Mytilus edulis: one gene and its partner. The protein of the gene in region 1 binds, or shares a complex with, the protein of each later gene. Links are inferred from orthologs where the notes say so. Each region holds a gene or a part of one and is shown on either strand. Other genes may lie near its edges. The genes, in order: negative elongation factor D-like and negative elongation factor A-like.

Evidence for each region.
Region 2: the proteins of negative elongation factor D-like (region 1) and negative elongation factor A-like are in contact, whole or in part, in a crystal structure (PDB 5L3X), measured with the Homo sapiens proteins. The link is inferred for Mytilus edulis from reciprocal best matches to the Homo sapiens genes NELFCD and NELFA. Residues at the interface, in XP_047296144.1 of Homo sapiens: Cys204, Gln205, Gln206, Leu207, Glu208, Phe210, Ser211, Leu214, Arg215, Leu218, Ala219, Ile221, Leu222, Asp223, Gly225, Glu226, Cys241, His242, Gly243, Glu244, His245, Thr246, Tyr247, Leu248, Phe249, Ala252, Met253, Ser255, Val256, Leu257; in NP_005654.4 of Homo sapiens: Leu23, Trp24, Ala25, Leu54, Leu58, Leu61, His62, Arg65, Pro88, Trp89, Met92, Val93, Ile96, Leu97, Phe100, Gly104, Ser105, Leu106, Leu108, Leu110, Asn116, Val117, Asp119, Ile120, Leu121, Glu123, Leu124, Arg125, Lys127, Val128.

Annotation. Positions count from the first base shown.
Region 1 is NC_092348.1:83,757,732-83,771,294, reverse strand, and holds the start of negative elongation factor D-like, read right to left. Parts: upstream 5,136-13,563; 5' UTR 5,022-5,135; coding exon 4,965-5,021; intron 3,634-4,964; coding exon 3,509-3,633; intron 2,949-3,508; coding exon 2,839-2,948; intron 2,409-2,838; coding exon 2,299-2,408; intron 1,832-2,298; coding exon 1,724-1,831; intron 1,398-1,723; coding exon 1,245-1,397; intron 937-1,244; coding exon 806-936; intron 417-805; coding exon 296-416; intron 1-295. Other genes in the region: uncharacterized protein, read left to right, coding at 5,498-5,593, 12,806-13,264. UniProt on the Homo sapiens protein: Essential component of the NELF complex, a complex that negatively regulates the elongation of transcription by RNA polymerase II.
Region 2 is NC_092347.1:88,039,583-88,052,719, forward strand, and holds the start of negative elongation factor A-like, read right to left. Parts: upstream 7,147-13,137; 5' UTR 7,113-7,146; coding exon 6,912-7,112; intron 2,622-6,911; coding exon 2,589-2,621; intron 216-2,588; coding exon 47-215; intron 1-46. Other genes in the region: uncharacterized protein, read left to right, coding at 9,942-10,724. UniProt on the Homo sapiens protein: Essential component of the NELF complex, a complex that negatively regulates the elongation of transcription by RNA polymerase II.

The DNA of each region.
Region 1 (13,563 bases):
ACACCTTATCCCTATTCATTACAATACAGATAAGTTCTGAAATTACACAACTTGCTCATCTAGTTAAAGCTATCTGGGGGCTCTGTTTTAACAATGTACAGGGTATAAAACTTTCCATAGTTACATGTTTAAACCATTGTAAATACGTCAAACTAAGCAGTAATTTATTTTAATTTGTGTTTTTCAAAAGTAGATCATGAACTATCAAAATGTTCTTTTTTCTAAACTTTTTGCTCCCTCAGCTCCTTACTGACGACCTTTGTGTTTCGGAAAAGAAATGTTTAATGATACATACAATGGTAATATCTGCTGGATTTAAAGCATTCCTTGACAGCATAGATGATAAAGCTTGACAAGCCCTGGGGTAGGCTGCTGCACCACTCAAAGCTAGCGTTATAGGTGTTACATCCAATCCTCTGTCATCACAATCATATATATATATATATTATTAAAGTAGTAGTGTAATAAATACAAATACATTATCAACGAAAATCTTAGTGAGCAAAAAAAAAATATTTATTAAGGCAGCTTACACCTATACAACAACAACAACAACAACTACAACCTATGATTCATTGCAAGGACTTTGGATATAATTCATTATGATTTTTGTTGCTTGAATGGAAAAAAGAGAAATCAATTCAATTCTCCATAGTTAACTTTCCACTAAAAATTTATATGTAACAAATGTGCACAAAATCAATTTAATGATAAAGTAAGTCTTAAATCATCACTCATGGAAAAAACAATAGTTTCAAATGTATTTTAAAGTATTCAAAAAACATTAATTGTTTTTGTTGCTTACCTTTCATTAGCAGATTTTTGTAATTCCTGGCACAACCTTCTGATATTAGATCCACCTTTTGGTTCCTGTGACAATATCTGCATTAACACTTGACTGTATAGGTAGGTATGTTCTCCATGACAAACCATTTTCTAAAACAAATACAAAACATAATTCAGCATATCAGTTATTTTGTAATTGTCATCAGGCAAGTAATTTGTAATAGATAAATGTGAGAAGGGACAAATCAAGAAACAGTGCTCCTCTAGTAAGGAAAACAAATGTTCAAGGCAAAGGATAATACTGTCACAAACTCTGACAAAATTTTTGCCACATATTCTATTATTTAAAGAGTTATAGTTTGATGATTTTTTTAAAATAGAAGTACAGTTCAGAAAATGTAATAAATAACAAATAATTGTGTTTTTTTTTCTTTCTTAATAACAATTATAATTCTTACTGTAAATTCTGGGAGATTTTTTTCTAACAATTCTTCTCCTCCATTTAGAAGACTAGAAATAGTGGTCCGTAAAACTCTGGAGAATACTTCTATCTGATGGCAGGCTGTGGAGACAGAGGTTATCTCCCCTTGGAATCCTGCATCTGAGATAAGCTGGAACAGAAATTAAAGTGTAAACCACAGACAAGATACAGTGGTCTATTTAATGACATGCTGTAGAGACAGAGGTCATCTCCACCTAAAAATATTGCATCTGAGGTACTGGTACACTGTTACAGAAATTTTAGCATCAGAAATACAGTAAACAAAAGGCATGGTTAAATTAAAAAAAAAAATGTATTTGCTATAGATTTCATTTACCGTCAGTAAATAATTAAGATTGTATGTTATTATTAGATATTTTTACTTGAAAAGAAGACATTTGGTTTTATGTAATACATATTTTGCCTACCTTTATACGTTATAGATATTTTGCCTACCTTAACAGTGAAGTTCAACATTAAACAATCTGGATATTCCTCTGCTAATTTGTAAAATAATCCTCTCCATGTGGGGTATTCAATCATCTCAGCCAACCAAGAGGGAGTCTACAAAATACAATGAATTACAATGAACTTATGTTATCTACAAAATATAAAGTCACTTGAGGTTGTTTTAATAAAATAATGTCTTGTTTTGTCATATACTGGTACATGTACATGTATATGATGTAAACTATTTAGGGTCACACTAGGAATGGTTATAATTATGCTCATCATTTGGATATATGATTAGTGCATGATATAAATTCTTTAAAAATCGATTTTAAGAGAATGGGTTAATTCTTCTACAAGTACTTTCTATATACATCTCTATAAATTGTCTATGTGAGAAACATATTCATGATTATCCTTAATAACAAATTAAAGTGTTTCTGATCTGGTTAAAGTCTTCATGTAAGACAGGAATATTTGGTATAATTAATAACATGGATATACATGTATGTGACTACATTTAATTTTCAAGCAAGAGAAGAATAATTGACATTGGTCTATTTGATAACTTAGAATTATACCTCTCCTTCATCTGTAAATATAGAATCTGCTTTCTTTGGGTCAAAATGTTTTATAATCATTGTCTTTAAATGGTTCTCTACCATTTCTTGTACAACTTTTATATCTACACCTAAAAACAAAAAAATCATCTGTTATAATACCTAAAAAGGTGTGATAAGAGAGAAACCATTATTTTGAGAATTGCATGATTATTTTTTTTTTCAAGTATTTTTCCGAAAGTTGGAGATTGATAAATTGAACAGAGGTTGTTTCAATAAATTAAATTACTCAGGGAGTAAATTTCATAAAATTTGACTTGTTTTTAAGAGAATCCTATGTTTGATGAATAGATGACCGTACTGTTGAGATCTAACAAGCATATATATCAGCTGTTGTTACAACAATGTCAATCACAATTTTTCAAAAAATAATATGAATATATGTGGTATGATAGCAAATTACCAAAAAGACAACTTCCCAGCAATTACCAAATGATACAAATATAGGTCACAGTTCTAGTCTGTATGTTATGATAAGGAACAATTAATAGTTTCACTAACCAGCCTGAATGAGCCATTCTGCTAACAAATTCACAGTCTGTGCAACAGCTTTGTAGTTTTCAGATAGTAACTCTACGACTTTCTCTGGTGAACCTCCAGCTTGTAAAAATCTGTTTAAAATGAAAAGTATAGACAATTACATAGGATCTCCTGAACTCTTTCCCAGCATGAATAAAGTTTAGTGGTAAAAATCACTGGCTCTATGCTGTAACAAATCCTATCTGGTAATATAATAACTAGCTTTTTATATTAACATGATTGATACTATTTAAATCAATCAATCAATTTACTGTCATGGCAATGGACTGTTATATTTATCTTTTCAATATATACTGGTTAATAAAATCATAACAGTGTGAACTGGCTGGTCATTATTGCTTATGTAGTTTTGACACGCCTACAAACATGTAGCTATTGAATATTCATGTATTCATGTGTTGATGCATGTAGATAAGAACAACATGTGAAGCCCAAAAACAGATCTGTAGATTTGTAGCGTACACGTTTATATGTAGATATAGAAATAGAAAATAATAACAGATATATAGTGTTTTAAAATTGTTTAAAAGCCAATCAAGTAAAAACAAGGATCTATCAAGACACTGTCACTGCATCCAATTGCAATGATATCATTGGATATGTTTATGGTAAATTAACAGATGATATTTACGTTTTAAGCATGTTAAAGACTCCTGGTTCCATAATGAAATCACTGGCGGAGAATATTTGCAGACATCCATCTTGTATGGCTTGGTTCTCTTCTTCATCTTCACCATCCATATCATGGTCAGACATCTACAAAAGATACATTCTAGTCAAAAGTTACCAAAGAGATATTCAAACATATTAGTAAAAAAAAAAAACTTGTTCTTTAATTAAGCTATAAGTTTTCTTGTTTTCATTGTTTAAATTCTATCATTTCATGGCCTTTCATAGCTGACTTTGCGGTACATGTACATGCTTTGCTCATTGTTGAAGGCTGAACAGTGACATATGCTTGTTCATTTCTGTGTCATTTGGTCTCTTGTGAAGAGTTGTCTCATTGGCAATTATACAAAATAATTCTTTTATTATAACAATACATAGAAAACCAAAGACTGAGCAACAGGAATCCCACCAAAAATCTGGGATAATCTTATGATTTTTAAGTGCTCCTGAAGGGTAAACAGATCCTACTTTACATGTTACACGCTTCATTTATCTTGTTTCCCATTTAAATCTGTCAATTATATTTTAAAAAGATGACTTTAACAAAGTTTTATGAATGAGCTGTCCTGGTTAACCTGGGGTCATTTAGTCTGAGATTACTCTGACGTCCAACGGCTATTTTGCCAGACAAGCTGGGGCCGTGGGACGTCAGAGCTCGTGCCATATCAAAAAGTGGATATTTTCCCACCCAAAATAGATGCCCTGCTTCATAGCTTCTGGTGCCGACTGACGGCCTTGGAATTATATAAATCGGGCATCAATCTGTTCCTTTTTCATTTATCTTTTCATATATATGTAAGTTTCACCTACCTGCCAACCTTTATTTTTCCATATTTTAACAGTTTTCACAAAAACCCATTGATTTCTGCATTTTGACTTTCACTTACATAATTATCTGCCAATTTTTATAATTCCAAGGCCGTCAGTTGGCACCATAAGCGACGAAGCAGCGCATCTACTTTGGGTGGGCAAATATCCGCTTTTTGATATGGGACGAGCTCTGACGTCCCTAGGCCCCAGCTTGTCTGGCAAAACAGCCGTTGGACGTCAGAGTAATCTCGGACTAGGGGTCATTTAGCATGTTTAGGGTTTTGACATCCTACATGTTGTCTTGAGAAATATTAACTTGATGTGTTTGTGCTTCTGTTATTGCATAAAATACAAGGTGACAGTAACTTGTCTTATAGAAGGGGAAAAGATAATTTGTTTATTTTTATTTTTCAAACAAAAGTACATGAGAGCTTGTCAATGGTTGAATATGATTGTTAATAATAAAAAAAAAACAACGTAGGCTCTCAAATGCTCTTGAGAATATATCATAAATCTATTCACAGAGGGTATAATAAACATTATAAATATAGACTATAGTATGGAGGCATTCACAAATATTGAAATCAACAATTTTATAGATCAGTCACCTCTCCGCCTATTTCCTCAGGATCCCACACCATGTCTTCATCATCCAACTCTGACATTATAAATTTAAATGCGTTTTTAATATACTGTCAACAAATATATTATAAATCTACAAAAATAAAAAAACACCAAAGTTTGAAGACAAAAATCTACACTGAAGTGTTAATTTTCCTGTTAATTAATTGTGGAATATGTAATTCTTTTCAACATAACATTGAATTTTATCAAAATGATTAACAATAAATCTATGTTTTTTTTTATAAATAATAACAAAGAATGATGATTGATATTGATGCATTTGACCCTTAACATACAAAAGATAGAAATGTAACATAGAATGAACTCTTTATAGTTACTTTCCCAAAATTATGGGTACACCCAAATTAATGAAATAAAGCTGATATCAACATTGTAAATTTGTGTTTTTCAAAGTTTACCACTTAGTTATTTTGCGACAACATTTTAAAAACTTCAAAAGATTTTTGAATACATGTTGTTTAACAGTTTAACGTTTCTTTCCATTGTGTAACTGATTATGATTTTATGTTCTTTCAAGGGGACCTTTCCAGGATCGACAGACTTAATTTGTAATAATCATCTAAAAGAAAACTTTTCAGTTATTTTTTTACAAGTTTGTATGATATCAATTTGCTATTTTGTATGCATTTCCATATATGACAAGTTGTCAGATTATTATAAATCTCATTATTTGTTCAGAATGCAGAAAATCTTATTCTCTTCGAGAGAAAAAAATCTCCCAGGATCTAAAAAATTGACAAAATTTATGGGGTTACATGTTAGTTACTTGTTGATGAATGTCTTTCAGAACCATCATGCTTATAGACCATCCTTGACTTATCTGACATGTTGGCTCCCTTGTCCAGTATATAAAATGCTTCGAAAAGAAATCAACTATATATTATTAGTTACACAGTGTGCAATTGTCCTAATACGAGAATTTATCGGGTCAATAAAATTCATATCGGGTGAGGCGAAGCCAAACCCGATATGAATTTTATTGACCCGATAAATTCCATATTAGGACAATTAAACACTGTGTAACGAATTATCCTGGTTTTGTTATATTACATAAATTCAATATTTGTACAATAAGGCCAAAATAAAAAGATTGTATGTTTGCCCAAACGCGACCGACCCAAAATAAACCCGCCGACTCAAATTCTTTTTTTGACGTTTTTTGGAAGAATTTTTTTTTCGGATTTTTTTGGGGTCCGCTCCGTCATCGTACAAAACTTAATGTTTGTCGTCTTTGCGTTTGAAAGTAATTGTGAATAAGATTAAAAGAAAGCGTATAAGAGACGCAGTTAATCGATATTCGATGTTCTCTGTATTTATCTTCTGATTTAACGAACGTAAAGAAGTGAAACATGTGAAGTGGCAGTTTTTTTACGCTGTAGTTGTTTGTACTACCAAACCCTTACCTATATGCTCAATGTTAATTTCATCGTGTTATCGAATATCTGATAAGAATATTCAGGTAGATTTGTTCAAAACCATGTGCAATCGAATATTTTCAATGTTATTCTGACAGGAAATGGATCCGGAAGTTGCGAATTTACAATCTTGCAAGAAGATTTTGTTTTTACTGAATAAAAAGGAATTATTTCTTGATAAATTGTTGTCTTTAATTATAATCTTCCTTTATCATGTAAATTAGATGTCCTTTTATTCAAATACTTCAAATTTACAAGTCTCATTAGACAGTCAGTACGTTGCTGTTTGGGAGAATTTGATAAAACTATAATTGCTCACAGAATCAGAAATATAATCTTAACTGAATGTAACTCCTTCTGAATAATTTATTGCAATATAAATATAAATCCCTTTTGACAAGAGAAATTTGACTTTTGTCAGAAATATTTTTTCACATGTGCAAAAGTAAAAACATGTTATGGACGCCATATTGGATTTTTATACAATTTGCCAGACTTAACTAATCGATCAGATCGGTAATCGAACACTAATCGATCATATTTGATCAGTACTTGAAGTCATCGATCAAACTCTCTCAGGAGTTTGATCGATTAGTGATTGATTAGATTACTGATCGATTTAAGACCGATTACTGATGGATTAGTGATTGATTAATGACAGATTAGTGATTTTATTATTATTGACAAAACAATGCTCTTCCAGAAATAAGCCTTATGAAAGGCATCATTTGTGAAATAAAAATTCCATGAAAATATTTTCACCATTGCCAAAATTTTCTGGAATTCTAGAATTTAAAATCATTTCACTGCTAAGAAGATACTGGAATTTTTTTTCATGATGTTGTCAATGTGTCTGGAAATTTGAATGTAAAGATTAGAACCAATACCCATGCCAGACATCAGTGTTTATTTTTAGGTCTTGAATTCATGTTTCTGTCTAAATATGCCAAAAAATCCAGGATTTACTCAGCAATACATTTTTACACAATATGCAGTCGTAACCAAGAGAAGCGTATCTAAAAGCTTAGCCCTAACATATTCCTGATTAAAAACTACATTTTTGTAGGTTTACCCATGTATATTGGTACAATAACTGTGACGTCTTGAAAGGCTATTTTAATTTTTTCTTTTACAAACTTTCATTGACGGAAGGCGTCAAAGCAAAATTTAAAAAAGCCATCCAAGATGTCATAATTATTGATATAAAAACTCTAATTTTTATATGTGTGCATGTAACAAATTTGGTTGTAGAGGGGTCTAAATACAGCACAAACTACATTTTCCAAAAGACCGGAAGAGTGAAAAAATAGATTTTAACAACAACATTTGACTTGAATATAGTAGTATATATATCCTTCCATGGTTTGATAAATATTTGATGCCTTTTAAGTTAATGACCTTTGTTAACACATCAAAATTAATTTTTACATATAATATTAGCTTCAGACACTTGTGATTTTATTAAGAAGATGAAAATTTCAACCAAGCTAATATATATTAAAATCTGTATTTTTCATATATACGGATTAATCAACACAAATAAATTGTGCAATTTGATATATCCTTAACTTTATGATGAAATTTAGGGTTTGTCCTATAACATTATTAACTAATGCCAGAATTTAGGTCACAACTAAATAGCCAGAACATTTACCAATTAACAGAAAATTGATACATCATTTATTCAAACACACTTGTTTGTCTTCACAGCAGGATATTGTCTAATTTCCCCAATATTGTAGAAGACTGACCAGAAATTACCAGCTGTGGACTATGACTCTACTAAGGATTGCAAAATACTGATAAAAATAAATAGATTTTTATCAGAGTCAGTGGAAAACTTTCTATTGACTTTTGAATTTACATACAGAAGATCCCCCCTTTTTTCTAAAATTTTAAAATAGTCCTAATGCAAGGCAATAGTGGTTAGTGTTTTATTTTCACACGAAAGCATACACATCTAAAGATAAGTAGAATGAATATGAATAAGAAATTAAAGATGTTTTTAAATAGAATTGAGTATGTGCCCGTCACAAGTCAGGAGCCTGTAATTCAGTGATTGTCTTTTTTTATTATGTGTTACATATTTGTTTTTAAATAAATAAGGCCGTTATATCCACCTATGATTTGTAGTTGCATAGTGCAACTACAAATCATTGTTCTGGCCTTTCATTGAAACTGTGTAGCAATGTTTAGAGTTTTTCTATAAATATGGTGATTAAAGGGAAACTTTCAGCAGAGACCACCCCTTCTGTTTGTCATTTTTTTATTACTGCTTTTAATTTATTGATTTTTTCATAATTTTGTAAAATTTGTTAATTTGAATTTAGATTTATTTTTTTTTAATTGCAGAGTTCACGAAATCTTTTTTCCCCTGGTGGTCCTTGGAGAAAATCTGCTGGTCCTCATTATCAATTCTATTGAAAAATACTAAAATTGTGTCAGTCCTATGCAAAATTTTGATGGTAAAATCCAGAGGACCACCTCTTTTCACGAACTCTGTTTTTGATTTTCTAACTATTTCATCCTATTTTAATAAATGTTGAATTAAGTGTTTCCTGGTAGAATTTTGTCTTATAAGAATTTCAGTTTACATGTGAGGTTTACATGATGATGGTCATTAATTAGTTCTGCACAGTGAAATATTTTGAAGGAATTGTGACTTTCATACAAACTATTTTATAGGTCATTTCATTAATTCACCAATGTTCTATTTCTTTTGAATCCTATGGATAGGTTTTAATGGGATATGATACACAATGAAGCACTTATTGAAGAATCTGTTTTAATAAGATGCCAGAATTTCCTGAATACTTTTTGAAGTTCTTCTGCTTGAGGATGATAATATGTAAATGATACATAACATCTATTTTAAACTTTTTTCTTTTTCTTAATTTTATCTTTTCTGTCATGGAATTTAATAAAATTTGTTTACCAATTTCAGTTAATAAAATGGTTTTTCAATAAAGAGTTTTCTTTCTGGTTTGTGTTTCTATGTAAATGAATACCTTTGCCTTTAATATAGGATTTAAAGTTCCAAATGGGTTGGTTTTGGGTTTTTATGAAGATGTTGAAATTTTTCTGTATTTTTTTTTATAGCATTTCATATCTTACCAGTATTTTCATGTGTTCGTCTTTGAGGATTTCAAGGTCTAGAAATTTTATGGAATTATTATTGCATTCCTTTGTAAACTTTAGCAGGTAGTGTTGTTGAATGAATTGAGTGGTAGGGATGAGCTGGTCATCATGGTCACTATTTCAAGCTCTATTACATATTTCATGATAAAATCGTGAAATTTAGATGGAGGTGAAGTTTTCAACTTGCCTGTTTATATCACAAGTGTCTAAAACTAATTAGATGTCAGAATCTTTTGATGTTTGATAATGTTTCCAATAGTGTGGTCAAATCAACTATCTCTAAATCAATTTTCCCATACAATCTTACCAGCTATTTATTTGCTGTTTGTGCTTTTGATCCTATTGTTTTGACATTTTCACCTAATTAACATTAACAATATATAATAATGAAACATTACATTACTACAAATGTATCCTGAAAAGAAATTCTGATGTGTTTAGAAAAAATAGCAATGTATCTTTCATCAGTTATATACATGTATACTTTAGATTAATCTTATTTTCATAAAAAGAAACATTTTATGACAGATATACATTTTTGATAAGTAAAAAATATGATACGGGAAGGGTTGGGTAAGTGCTGGATCCAAATTCACATGGAAATAATGTTGTAGGTCATATCTAATTATATAAACAGTAGTCCAAATAATTATGACATCTTGGAAGGCTATTTTAAATTTTGCTTTGACCCTTTCCGTCAATAAAAGGCGTAAAAGAAAAAAATACAAAAGCCTTTCAAGACGTCATATCATAGTTTTTTTGGACCTAATATACATGGGTAAACCTACAAAAATGTAGTTTTTAGTCAGGAATTTGTTAGGGCTAAGCTTTTAAATACGCTTCTCTTGGTTACGACTGCATATTGTATAAACATGTATTACTGAGTAAATCCAGGAATTTCAGAAAATTTTGGCAATGGTGAAAGTATTTTCATGGAACTTTTATTTCACAAATGATGTCTTTCATAAGGCTTATTTCTGGAATAGCATTGTTTTGTCAATAATAATAAAATCACTAATCTGTCATTAATCAATCACTAATTCATCAGTAATCGGTCTTAAATCGATCAGTAATCTAATCAATCACTAATCGATCAAACTCCTGAGAGAGTTTGATCGATTACTGATCGATGACTTCAAGTCATCAATCGAGTACTGATCAAATATGATCGATTAGTGTTCGACTACCGATCTGATCGATTAGTTAAGTCTGGAATTTGTGAGGAAGCCCCTAGAACCATGACCTAAAAATAAAGTCTTCAGAAAACGTTAACTTTATGCAATTTCATTTTATCAATAATGATTATTTTCAAAAATTTAGTTTTTAGGTTGGAGATTCTACAGAACATGCTTTGATCTATTTATAGCCAAATTAGTTTACCTGTGTGATAATGTAAAATATAAATTTGTTTTCAAAACATCAAAAAGACACAAACTAAGGATGGTAGATAATAATTCATATAAATATTTTAGGACATTTAATCTATTTTAATAGAAATAGGATTTAAAAACTGCAAACTAATTTAATCATTACATAATCAGCTTCAATTTTTTTTACACAAACACATGTTGATGGAACTGTTGAAAATCACTTCACAAATCCAACAGCCCTTTCACACAGTTAGCAATTGTCAGGGTTATAAACATCTCAGGAAACAAATCATATAGTAGACTAATTTATTTATAGAGGTTTTAAATTCATGGCTATTGGTTGTCTCTACAAAGGTTTGACAGAGAAAAAAAAAGATATACTGTTTTAAGATCTTTTAATATTTTCATGCAAATTCGGATAAAAAAAAAAAAAAAGAATTTGCCTACCTACCTACCCACACCCAGTCATCATGGGTCGGGTTTGGGCAAACTGAAATATTTTTAATTGTGGCCTAATGAACCAAATATATTTAAGATATTTAATCTAAACCTGTTAAAAATTTAAAATATTAGAACTATAAAGCAAATCTTTTTTTTATTTTTTATTAGGTCAATGGTATAAGGGAGATAATTCCAATTGACATAATAAATAAGGGAGATAATTCCTACTGACATGACTGACGTAATAAAAAAAATGTACTGAAATTTATTAGGACAATATAAGCCAATCAAATTGCGAGAAATTACTCTAAATCAGGATAAATATATATATTCTACCATAGTCTAAAATCAGTCATCTTGTTAGTTCGTTCGGTATTTGTGTTTTAACTTATCACACGGGTAAACTAGGCATTGACATCACTTTCCTTCTACCCTCGTACAAAATTAGTGCAGAATACGTTGTTTCTACTCTTTTAAATAAAAAACATTTCTAAAGAGATGTTTTCATTGTTATTCTAAATTAATAATTAATAATTGCTAAAAAATGCCAATTTTCAAAGGATGATTTCGACAACAAAAGTAAGCGTTTACACCATTGTGTAGAAAAATCAATTCAGATTTATGACATAACAATTTTTAGTGAGGTTAGTGAGGTTGGTAACTTGAGAAATCGGCATATTATGGAATTTCGCTACGGCTGACATTTTTCAAAATGTTTAGTTAAGTACCTTATGTTATATTAAAGTATATAGGGAAAAAAATATTTCTGAGACAAGTGCCTGCGTAAGAACTCTATAAAATTAAACAGACTAAACTTCATACTTCGACATTTCAAATTTGAAAGATCCAAAATCAATCAAAGTCACATGCACATATAAGTGGACTTGCATAACATTGATTTCTATCCGACACAGTGCATATGTTTAATTGAACAAAGATAACAGAAACTTTCAGACGCTGATTAATGATATTCTTCTGCTCTATAACATGTACAATGGTTATATTAACATGAATTCTAGAGTGTGGTTGGCGCTCTCATTAGATGAGAAAGTCAATCATCAGGCTGATTTACTAAAACTAGAAATAGATTAATCACAATTTAATTATGAATGAAAATTTGATGCACATTCATTATAAAATCATCATCATTCATAATTAAATTGTGATTAATCTATTTCTAGATATTGCGAATTCAGGATTTAGATATTTTAAGTTCAGGCCCTTGCAACATGAAAGAAGGAGTGATCAAATGGTTAGGGACTGAATTATTCTAGTAAGCATAAAGAAAGATAAATTTAATTGAAAACCACATGAAATCATTGCTATATCAAATTTACCTTTGAGGGATACATGTGTATACTAGCTAGCTAGCCTTCAAGGTATTCCATTATAGATTTTTTTCACTTACCGGTATGTTAAAGATATTTATCTTTGTTACAGGAAACTGAGGCAATGGAATTATCACAGCTGATGAATCTTAAGAGATTTAACTTTAATTATGTCATATTTATTGTACTGTGTGCGATAATAGCCTATGTTTTCCGAGCTGGTGATACTTACATAATGAAACCAGTATGGAGAAAAAGAGTAGAGCCTCATTACTATATTAACAGAGACTATCCAACATTAGAGGACAGGTTACCATCGCCTATTATTACAGATTTAGAAGGTGATGGTGTTAATGAAATCATTTTAATATCTAATGACTATAAGTTGACGTCTCTAGCTCTTCCAGATAAAACAGAGGATGAAGATGATCTAACATTACCGCATGTTGTTGTTAAAAATAAAATACAGTTACCAATAGCAACCAAAGAAGACGGTGGAACAAGTAGACCTGTTGTCATGTCTACAGGATTTACTGTGTCTTATCAATCCATGATTCAGATTAGGAAACAGGTACATTAGATTCGTATTTGCATTTCGGGATTATGTAGAAATAGGTGATGGGGAGAAATTTCTAGTATTACCATTAACTTTTTATAACATCATTGAAATAATCAGTTATTAATGAACTGGATTATACTTTGTTAATGTTGATACAATGTATGATATGTTTCATATTCTACCTGTCAGCATGATATGTCAGAAAGGTAACATTTGGATAAATTTATTAAACAGAAAATTAAGAAAAATATGTTGAGTCACATGATTTCTAGCCAACTTCAGCAGACCGAGGGGAATAATTTATAGAATAC
Region 2 (13,137 bases), on another chromosome or scaffold:
CAGACATCATCATCGATACAATTGTCATATGAGAGGTAAACCATACCAGCTTTATTTAAGTCTGAAGTCATTTCTGAAAAGATTCCATTATCTTCCAGATCTAGATTTAATGTTCCCATGGATGGAAATGTCTTGAGAATTTCACCAATCATGGACACCCACTGGTCAGTGTCATGTGTGGCCATCAAAAGTATTTCTTCCAGATCAGCTCTCCACTGAAAACATGCAAATATAGTATATAGAATTTATTGAATGTTTAGTAACAGAATCTTTAAATATTCGTACTAATAAAATTCTTTTGAATTGTAATGTGAATGTGAATAAGATAAAGAAATCAAGTTCAAAGGTTTGCAATACATATCTAACCAAAAAGTCATGTTTGATAGCTCTCATTTTAACTTAAATGTAGAAAATATTCAGCAGTTAGCTCACTTGGACAAATTCATTCTAGTTTTTTAGGCCTTAACAGTCATTACAGTTTTAATGCAGTATAACTTTTTGCCCGTTGACTGCAATAACAAAAAGACTAATCATAATATTAATGACTTCAATGATGAACAATATCAGATATAAGAATAAATATTTTAATTTGGTTAACAAAATAACTGAAGAATAATTATAAAGCAAAAAAACATGAACAGCTGAAAACCTATGTTCAATTTACCAAAATTTTCACCTTGACTACTGAAAACTGTTAAATATATATAACTTACATGACTTATACATGAATTAAAATATTTTTTTTTCTTTCGGAAATAGATTTTGTATAATTATCTTTCTCAATATTTTCACCATGAATATTGGCGTTTTTGGCATTTATATACAGTTTTTAATGGGATTAGTCCAAGGCCGTAGCTACCCTTGAGGCAAGTGAGGCAATTGCCTCACTAAAATTTCGACGCTGATATTTTTTATACATATAAATATAATAGTCATTTGTTGTTCTGTTTCAACCTTAATTTCTATAACTTCATCATTTCTTTTAAACTATTCTTCCTGGATATAACTCAGCATCTCAACGGGTGATGTTTCTCGATTACATTAACCTAATAACGATAATCATCATGGATCTTTAGTTAAAAACAGGCTCTTGCAGAAAAAGGAAAAGCGACACTGAAGGAAAAGAAGGAATAATTCTAGTAAACTATTTTTTTTAACAAGAGTCTGAGTATTGCTTAGAACTTCATTAGAACAATCAAAAAACGATAAGTAGACTTTCTCTGTTTCACCAACTTTTGACTAATTAAGTACTGGGCATCGCAAGGGGGCAGTCCTGTCTGTGTATTCATTTCACGAACTTTAAACTTTCTCTTTACAGATAAATGAAATATAAATAATATGAAACATAAGCATAGATTAGTTTTTAGCCATGTTTCTTTAACCTTAAAAATTGAAAGAATATCCCATATTTCAATTTGATATTATTGAGGAATGGTAGATCCTTTAACACAGGATTTTGTCTTTACTTAATATTCGGGACTATGGAATTTCGTTTCTTTATATTTGGGGTTTCGGAATCGGACACCCCAAACCCTCACTCCTAAATTTATAGATTCTGGAACTAAAAGACCACCAACTATTTCCAGAAATAATTTGAAATTACGGAACTACATGTACAAACGTCAAAAACTCCATTCCAATTCCCCTGTACCCATATATACTTACTCTATAGATAGAATCATATACGTGTATCTTATCTCATTCTATCCCTAGTTTGTCTACTCTTTGTCAGCATAAAAGCGAGTTTAATATTTTGTAACTGCGACTGTATGATGGTTCTTACAGGAAAGCTTACAGGAAAGCCTTTTGCAAACAAAACTGTTGCTACCGATTTGCTGATGGAGAAGGATTTGGAAGAAGACATTTATCATTGTGTTGATGATGATGTGCTACCTTTAGAAATACAGACTGCCCTGAAACAACTGAAAACTTGGAAAAGAGCATTCATGAGTGGCGCGAGATTGTGCGGTCTTGAAAATTTGGTGTTAATAAAAGTCTTAAAAAATGAAAAATTTATATAAAGTGTCCAAATTCACAACATTATCAAACTCTCTAAAAATGCCTAGAATGCAGGATTTTGCACCTATCATTTCATACCCTCCAAAAAAAATTTTCGCCTCGCTTCTCTCGGCTCAATTATTTTGCCTCACTAAAATAAGATGCCTAGCTACAGCCTTGTTAGTCATAAATTGATGGTATGTCATGTTTGTAAGACTTAATCTAAGGCAAATGATTGTGTCATGCATGCAAATTTTCACTTTTCCTTCTACTTGAAAATATTAGTACTAAAAGGTTGTGAGCAAAAAGTCAATTTAATGACCATGTGGACAGCAAGATACATGTATGATATATATCCAAGTGTTGAAGAAATTTTCAAATACATAAAAACCATTTCCTCAAGTTTAGCTATTCAATTGTTTAGTTTTGGTTTTATTTTTTACTGTCTGCATATAAACTTAGACATACACATGTATGTAAAATAATATAACATCACTTTATAAATTGTTATAATGTACATGTTTTTTCTTGATATTTAACAGATAAACAACAAAAATTTAAAAAAAAATCAAATCAACAAATATTCTTACCTCCATTTGGCATTTGGAATGTTTGGAATATCTCTACCAATTTATATATCATGTATATAATTCATATATCATTTGCATATGTCATGTGTATGTAAACAATGTATAGAAATAACATGCAATAAACTGTTGGATGCTTCTGTTGTATTATTTAACTTTAAGATCTATATATTGTAACTGTTCCAGACCATATGTCGATATGAGTATTTGGACCGTATACGTATACTCGTACGGTCCAACCATACGTGTATGGTCGGACCCTATGAGTATACACGTATGGTCCAGTTTGAGCTGACCATACATGTTATGGATTATATTGGTTAAATTTAAACAAATGTTTATCACAATCTCAATTTTTAGTTTTACAAATTTTTATTATTACAAATAGATTGATAAAATGAACAAAGGAACAATTGAAATTAAATATTTGTTCAATTTTATATCTGAATCCTATTTTGGTACTCTTGCCCAAGGTGACACTTGCTATTGTCCTCCCAAATTATGTTTACTTCCGATATCTTCAATTTCAATGATCATAATTCAATTAATGTATTACTGATCTATATAAGCTTATAAATACAAGAGATTAACAGATTTAATTATTGTGAATTTTTTATATAGTTAAAATATAAAGTTTTTATTTCAATTACAATAGAACTTTTTTATAACAATTTGAGAGTTAAGTTATGTTGATCTGTTAAATGCATTTGTATCTAATTAATTTGACCAACTTCTTGATATTAGTCAGACACGTACGGTATGACCATATGAGTATTTTGAAAAAGTACGCATACGGTCCAGACCGTACACGTACGGTCCAAATACTCTGGAACATAACTACTTTATAATCATACACATGTAATAATATATATTTTATACTTTTATTGAAGATAAATGACATTTGATGAAAAAAATCAATTACTGTTTAAAAATGTACAACTGTTAAATATATATCCTGTTTCTAATTCTATGTAGTGCTTGTCTAATTTGGACAGTCACAGAATCCCTTATCACAGCCACACAAAAATATAGTTTGCCTTTCGAAAATTTTAAAAACATAACGTGACGGTACCTAAATTGCACCTATTTTGACAGTTTTTTCACCTACGTTTTTTTATGATAAAGACGCGACAATAATGTCCATTCTGTGTTTATTTTGAAGCTGTATCCTTCTTTATTATAAAGGTATACCTATTCGATTTTTAATCCATATGGAATCATAGAAAAATTGGTCTAAACTGACCTCCAAACCATCAATGATTCTGAAATGAGGAGTACCCAAATTGCATCTATGCTTAAATTCGCATCGTCAAAAGTCGAATAACAGAGCTTTTGTTTAATTTCCTCAAATATTTTGAACAATCGGATATAAATCCATGCTTACTCTTCATTTTTTTTTAAAATGGGTACTTGTAACATATTGTATTTGATCATTTTAAAAAGATGATGTTTTGATGACGTCGCATAGCGACGTTTCAGTACATTTTGCTTTTTCAGTAAACACTTCATCTATTGATAAATACTGTGAACATTTTGTGCATATCTAAATATTTTTACCTATGTTGAAAGATGTGCATAGTATCAAATCATAAAAATACAAATTGTGTAGTCTCTAGGAAATCTTGTAAGATGTCTGCTGCTATTTTTGCTAAATAGGTGCAATTTGGGTACTCGTTGCAATTTGCGTACCGTTTCATTAGAGATTTACCATGTCTCTAGAACCAATGCATTTGTCACATACAATAACGAGCCAAAATGCAAAAAAATATCCATTTACATTGCAAACTTATAATTTAACCTTGGTTTAAATTCCTTTATTTACAATCCTTATAACAAGTTCAAGAATGTCAAGACAATCACGTTTTTTTAGTAGTTTTTTTATAAAACATCACTACTATAAAAGTGCAATAAAGTAATTTCATAAAGTTATAAAAGGTATATATATGAAAGTCATATGCATCAAAATATAATTTTATTACATGAAACATGGCCGAATTGAAGTATAATTGTTTAGTACATATGAAAGAATTAAGCAACATAACTATAGAAAATTTAAATTTAATAAATCTAGCGTACATTACTGTTTTTCATGTAACAATAACACAATGTAACCGTAGCCTCAATAATTATTGTTTCATACGTAATTAATCGGTTCCTTACCCAACTTTGCATTCCGGCAATTAGTCTCCGATGTAACAATAATATTTTTTTTATTGTTACATTTCCATGTAACCGTAGCCAGTGCCATTTATCAAGGATTTGTATCCTTGCATTTATATATGGGGACGAAAAAAAAATCCAGACTTCGTCCCCATTCCCAGGTAATGCCTGCCTCATATTAAATCACATAAAATGATATGTCTTCACTTGAAAATTAATTGCTTATGCTTTTGTGCGTAAAAAGTTTAATCTTTACTGTAAAATATGACAGGAATCAGTTGAATTTGAGCATGTTTACCTGGAACACAAATCCTGGGCGCAGACATATTGGATTGTTCTATTTCATGGGTGTGAATGTTTTAAGTTGGTGCAGGATTTGTCATTTTTGTATTGTTCACAATGAACAGTTAGACTTAGTTTACAAATTACTTCTTTATTTGTTTGTTACAATGTATTTTAACATATATAAACCGCAGGAAAAAGAGAGACTTATTTAGATAAATATTATATTTTGACACAGTTACCCCTATTCAAAATTAGATGGTCCAAAGCATATCCTGTTTTGAAACAAAAGTGAAAGTGCAGAACAATATTATATGAATATTCTATTCTTGCTTATGTTTTGAAATATACCGTCTGTATTTGATGTCTTAATATGGGAGAATCTTTTGATCTTGCAAAGGTAAACACCATTAAAAAAAACCAATAAAATATACAAAACAAGCTACTGTAACATCAGGATGAAGGGGGGTCTCATTGGGGGGTGGGGGGTTCTGATCCCGGGTCCCGCTTACTGTTTTGTCAGATTCCCGTATCCCGTTTACACAATTCTCCTATGTCCCGCTAGACTTCATTTCCCGTTTTCACGGCACAATAATTTGACTTCAACATGTCACGCTTACAAAAAATTGACATGAATCCCGCGTCACTCTTAGAACCAAATGAGACCCACATGAAGTACAGCAACAAAAGTGCAGTTCTCTATTTTTTGTGTGTTTTTAGGTGTGCAAATACTTTTTTTATGTGGATTAATTCCCTCTCATCCTTTGTTTTTCAATTTACAAACACAATATAATAAACTAAAGACTATTTTGACAGTTTTTTCACCTACGTTTTTTTATGATAAAGACGCGACAATAATGTCCATTCTGTGTTTATTTTGTAGCCGTATCCTTCTTTATTATAAAGGTATACCTATTCGATTTTTAATCCATATGGAATCATAGAAAAATTGGTCTAAACTGACCTCCAAACCATCAATGATTCTGAAATTAGGAGTACCCAAATTGCATCTATGCTTAAATTCGCATCGTCAAAAGTCGAATAACAGAGCTTTTGTTTAATTTCCTCAAATATTTTGAACAATCGGATATAAATCCATGCTTACTCTTCATTTTAAAAAAAAATGGGTACTTGTAACATATTGTAAAATTATTTGATCATTTTAAAAAGATGACGTTTTGATGACGTCGCATAGCGACGTTTCAGTACATTTTGCTTTTTCAGTAAACACTTCATCTATTGATAAATACTGTGAACGTTTTGTGCATATCTAAATATTTTTACCTATGTTGAAAGATGTGCATAGTATCAAATCATAAAAATACAAATTGTGTAGTCTCTAGGAAATCTTGTAAGATGTCTGCTGCTATTTTTGCTAAATAGGTGCAATTTGGGTACTCGTTGCAATTTGCGTACCGTTTCATTAGAGATTTACCATGTCTCTAGAACCAATGCATTTGTCACATACAATAACGAGCCAAAATGCAAAAAAATATCCATTTACATTGCAAACTTATAATTTAACCTTGGTTTAAATTCCTTTATTTACAATCCTTATAACAAGTTCAAGAATGTCAAGACAATCACGTTTTTTTAGTAGTTTTTTTATAAAACATCACTACTATAAAAGTGCAATAAAGTAATTTCATAAAGTTATAAAAGGTATATATATGAAAGTCATATGCATCAAAATATAATTTTATTACATGAAACATGGCCGAATTGACCAAGGCCGAAACGACCATGGACGTACCGGGACCTTGGCCGAAACGTCGTGTTTCCCTAAATAACACTTTACTGCATTGGAATAATTTTCACGATCAACTATGATACTATATTTGTAAGGATTGTTTTGAAGATAGAAACATGATTTATTTGATCTACCTGCTCTACATTCCTCCTCGGCAAGTGCAGAAATGACAACATTAGCTTCACTTTAACGTGTGGTTGAAGTGCATTGTAGCAAGCTTGGATATTTTGTAATTTTGCTTGGTTTATTTGTGAACATATTGTCTTTCCGGACCACAAATCGTCGGTAGAACCTAGCTTGTTGTGCAGCCACAGAGCTGTGTCACCAGCAGCCATCTTGGAGAGGCGACCGAAATACAAAATGAAAGGAAAACAACAATTGGGTGATAAAAATAGCTTTTAATTAACATAAACTTCCGGTTAAATAGAAAGTAAACACTTCGAATGTTTACAAAAAGGTAAAAGTCAAACTATCTTTTAGGCTTGTCTATTAATTGTATTTTGTCAACCACACCTATCATTGATTAATTATCATTTATAGGACAGTGTCAGTTAGTGGCAGCAAATATTGATTCCTTATTTATGTTTAATTACAATATTCATTGAAAACAATCATGTTTTGTTTACATTCAAAACTCAAGGATAAATTGAAAGAGTAACTGAGTTTGTCCTGTTTTGTTTTGTTTTATAATAAAAAAAGAATGACCATCTTTGCTACAAGTATCTTGTCTTCACTGACTGATCTCACGTTTAAGGGAGAGGGGCGAGCTCCAGTAATTTTCAGTGATTTACTATAATACAAGGCAGGCATGACCTGTGATAGGTGATGGAGTCCTTATCAATTATTGTTTATAATTCAAACATATTTGAATGATAAAAAAATATACCGTAAAGTTTCTGATGTTGGTCCTGTAGTTTCAGTTGCGACATCATTTTTGGACAGATAAATCCTAAATTATGAAAAGTCACTCTGATTCAAAACAAACAATTCTCTGAAAATGATATATTCTTGATAATCAAGATGCTTGATTTCTTGATTGCCAATATATTTGTAACAATAGGAGGATGTGTTTTTCAACAAACAATCAGCATTCTCATGGGAACAAACTGTGCCCCTCTTCTTGCTGACTTGTTCCTTTATTCATATGAGACTGACTTCATACAGGAACTTCTTAGGAAGAAAGAAAAGAAGTTAGCAATATCCTTGAACTTCACCTTCCGCTATATAAATGATTTTTCTCAGTAAACAATTCAAAATTTTTGACTATGTTGAACACATCTATCCCATCAAACTTGAGATAAAGGATACACCAGTTACAGTCAAGTGTGCCTCATATCTGAACTAACATCTAGTAATTACAATCCTGTCCCCTTTTCCCTGAATGTGACCTATGGATTTAGACTTATTACCAGGTTTGTACTAATATGAGCAACAGGAAGGGTGCCACATGTTGAGCAGGATCTGCTTTCCCTTCAGAAGCACCTTAGATCAACCCCAGTTTTAGTCAGATTCATGAATTTCATGTTGCTCAGTCTCTAGTTTTCTATGTGTGTAGTTTTTTTTTAGTCCCAGGACAATTGTAAGACAATGAATGATTGAGTTAATTAAATTTTGATTTAGATCCTGAAATAGAAAATGGAAGACACAACGGTGTTCCCCCAGACCAAAAATTTTGTTTGCCTTGTAAAACTGATATTGTTGAAGATTCAATCTATTTTCTACTTCAATGTCCATCACTATATTAAATTAGAAAGGTCCACTTTTATTTCTGACATTTTCTAAATTCTAAAGGATTTATATATTGACGGTAACATCCAGCATTTTTTTGAAGACCTATATAATAATGTCGTATGATACTGAGTCAAGAAATGAACAATGGTGAATCTGACTTGGTATTTGGTCATAATTACTAAAATATGTTTATTAGGTCTTTCCACCTTTCGTGTGGAAAGACCTATTGATTTTGTTCTGATTATTTCTTCCGCCTAATTTTTTTCTTGCGGTGTAAAAATGTTTCAAAAGATGTCGCTTAGTTTTTTTGTATATGAGATCATACAGTCTATACGCTTTTGAAACTCACCCTGTTTAACTGAACACTTTTCTTTGTAAGAGTTATCTCCCCAAACACTGTTTTTCTTGTTATCAGATCTCCTCCGCAACCGTAAAAGAAAGCAACAAATTTATTTTTCCAAATTGCTCGTTATATCCTCAGGATGTTACGTTTTATTTAGACCGAACCAATACGAAGACTCCATATGAGAGTAATTTCCCCTTTTGTATTGAAATAAGTGAAATAAATTTGTAACTGGAAAACCATAAGTGATAGAGGACTAGGGTCTTTTGATTTGAGGCCCTTGCTCAAAAAGTATGAAAATGAGGTCAAAGTCAAAGGTCAAGGTCATGTTCAAATTTTTGATTTTGGCTTGTTATCTCTTATTTTCAGAAATCATACAAGATATCGACAAAATATTTTCACACAATTGTTAGTTGCGACATGTCGTAACATGTAAATTTTACTTAAAAGGGTACGTAACATTTAATGCGAGTTTTGCCCCCTTTTATATCTAATATTAGTTGTATGGTAATATAACTCATTAACAATATAAAGTAGAGGCCTAGAGTCTTTTGATTTGAGGTCCTTGGTTGATGACCTTGAAATTGAGCTCAAGGTCATAGGTAAATTTAACGTTCTAGATTTTGACCTTTGCTTTTTCCTCTTATATATACATGATAAAGCCATGGGACTTTTGGCAAAAGGTTGCAAGCAATGTGACCTTGAAAAAGCCAACCGGAAGTGACCTTTTGTAAACCGGAAGTAGCCATTTTTTGTACTAATTTAATGTAAAAGTATATAGAACCATCTATTTTTGGAATCAGTGTCAAGTAAACTATCAAAACATACCGGAAATAACATCTTTTAAACTGGAAGTAAAAAATGATCTCCCTTATGTATATCTTTTTGTATAGAAACCATATATTTTTGGAATCAGTGTCCAATAAGCTGTCATTTGACGCTAAAATTGACATTTAAAACCAAATTTTAATATTTTCATATAAAAAAGATCCTTACTGGTGGAAAGACCATCAATGGTTCTCTGAACAATTGGTTTTTAATTTTATTTTTGTTTCTTTTGCAGACTTATTTAGACCTACATTCCACAAATATGGATTTATTTAGTTTGCTGAGAAATAATTTATCACCATCCAAAAAGATGATAAATGCAATAACCTCAAAAGATGTTTCATTAATAGAGGATATATTGAGGTCTGGATTTAATGTGAATTCTAGAGTATATGAACAAGGAGGAGAAACTGCTCTACATATAGCTGTATCTAAGGCTAACTATAGCAAACCTGTTATCGAAAAACTTATAGAATACAAAGCAGATCCTTCTGTAACAAATGATTTTGGTGTCACCTCTTTACACAGAGCAGCCACAAATGATGACGCAGACATTGCATTCTTATTACAACATGACAAAAGTTCCACGTCTATAAATGACTTCTGGGTCTCTTTCACAAGGGATTTTACACACTGGCTGCAACATCATACTGTATCACCAAAAACATTAATGATTCTACTTATAGCCACCCCAAACTTTGCTAAATATCCAGAAAATATTAGAAAAACTATGTTCACCACTGTTTTAAATGAACAGACACCATTTTATAACTGTTTGAAAGTTATGGCTGTGATAGATAAAACCTTGAGAAACCAGCAGATTGCACAAATTCCTGATGATGACGAAAGGAAAGAATTTCTGGAATGGTTAGACAATTTTAAACGTAAAGTACCAACTCTTCAGCACTGCAGTCGGATGGCTTTAAGACAAGCACTTGATAACAAATGGAATGTGATATATGGAACTGAGAGGTTATATTTACCCAAATCTCTAAAACAGTTTGCTAAATTCAATGATATTACCAGTGTTGGCTTATCAACTTAAGGGATTCTAAAAACTGCATTTAATTTAGTTGTTATTAAATATGTTAGAAATGAACACAATTTCTCATGTATAATGTTTAAAAAAAAAACAGTTTTATATGATTATTTCACTTTTATCTTTTTAACTTAGAATACTTCATTAAACAGTAAATTGTATAGATTATGTTTTTTTTTTATAATTTCAAAAGTCAGAACTAAATATCAGGATTTATTTTCTACAAATTTGGGGATCATGGCTCATTTATCCCATTTTAATTTTTAGTTACCCTTCTTTAACCTGAAGTCCAAAAACCTGATAAATTATATATCACAAATTATCACACCGCGGGTAAAATATCACGTTGTGATTGGTTTAACACCGTCACGTGGTGACCCCCTATGAGACTGTAGGGGGTTAGTAAATTTCATATGGGGTTCATGACGCGTTAATGGTGACGTCATCTATCGATGTTGTTGTGTTTCATTGTTTATTTTTCAAGCAGAAAAAGTCCAGCGTGCGATAAATTCGTTATACGGTTAACTACTGACCCCCTCCGGCCTCACCCCTATGAATTTTACTAACCCTCTATGGATCCGTAGGGGGTCAGTAGCGAACCATATAACTTATAATATCATTTCACTTCATATAAATAAAAACTGAATACTTTAAAAAAGATCCCTTATACACCAATGTAAAATTTTGAAGGTCCACACACAAATTAAAAGGTCACAGGGACTACTACACATGGATTGTTAATTTTGAAGGTCTATATATACAAAAAAGATCCAAGAACTCATGCATTAATCAACAAGTTTCAATCCCCCTCATTATTGACTTTTATTTTCATTTTTCACTGTATAGTTGTCTGATTTTATTATGTTTCATGCACATCTCTATTTAATTAAAGGGGCCTCTGTGACCAGGAAGTCTAAGTATGAACAACTGTTTCACTAGCCTGTTAACACCGAAGGTGTGAGTTTGTAACCTGGACAAGGCAGGTGCATTTGACTCTAATCTTAATTTACTAGGATTGTTCTAACAATGATTGGTGGTTCTCTTCAGACTCCCTGGCTTCCTCCACCAGTATTGACACAATGATTGGTGGTTCTCTTCAGACTCCCTGGCTTCCTCCACCAATATTAATTGAGACAATGATTGGTGGTTCTCTTCAGACTCCCTGGCTTCCTCCACCAATATTAATTGACACAATGATTGGTGGTTCTCTTCAGACTCCCTGGCTTCCTCCACCAATATTAATTGACACAATGATTGGTGGTTCTCTTCAGACTCCCTGGCTTCCTCCACCAATATTAATTGACACAATGATTGGTGGTTCTCTTCAGACTCACTGGCTTCCTCCACCAATATTAATTGAGACAATGATTAGTGGTTCTCTTCAGACTCCCTGGCTTCCTCCACCAGTATTGACACAATGATTGGTGGTTCTCTTCAGACTCACTGGCTTCCTCCACCAATATCAATTGAGACAATGATTGGTGGTTCTCTTCAGACTCCCTGGCTTCCTCCACCAATATTAATTGACACAATGATTGGTGGTTCTCTTCAGACTCCCTGGCTTCCTCCACCAATATTAATTGACACAATGATTGGTGGTTCTCTTCAGACTCACTGGCTTCCTCCACCAATATTAATTGAGACAATGATTAGTGGTTCTCTTCAGACTCCCTGGCTTCCTCCACCAATATTAATTGACAATGATTGGTGGTTCTCTTCAGACTCCCTGGCTTCCTCCACCAATATTAATTGACACAATGATTGGTGGTTCTCTTCAGACTCCCTGGCTTCCTCCACCAATATTAATTGACACAATGATTGGTGGTTCTCTTCAGACTCACTGGCTTCCTCCACCAATATTAATTGAGACAATGATTAGTGGTTCTCTTCAGACTCCCTGGCTTCCTCCACCAATATCAATTGAGACAATGATTGGTGGTTCTCTTCAGACTCCCTGGCTTCCTCCACCAGTATTGACACAATGATTGGTGGTTCTCTTCAGACTCACTGGCTTCCTCCACCAATATCAATTGAGACAATGATTGGTGGTTCTCTTCAGACTCCCTGGCTTCCTCCACCAATATTAATTGACACAATGATTGGTGGTTCTCTTCAGACTCCCTGGCTTCCTCCACCAATATTAATTGACACAATGATTGGTGGTTCTCTTCAGACTCCCTGGCTTCCTCCACCAATATTAATTGACACAATGATTGGTGGTTCTCTTCAGACTCACTGGCTTCCTCCACCAATATCAATTGAGACAATGATTGGTGGTTCTCTTCAGACTCCCTGGCTTCCTCCACCAATATTAATTGACACAATGATTGGTGGTTCTCTTCAGACTCCCTGGCTTCCTCCACCAATATTAATTGACACAATGATTGGTGGTTCTCTTCAGACTCCCTGGCTTCCTCCA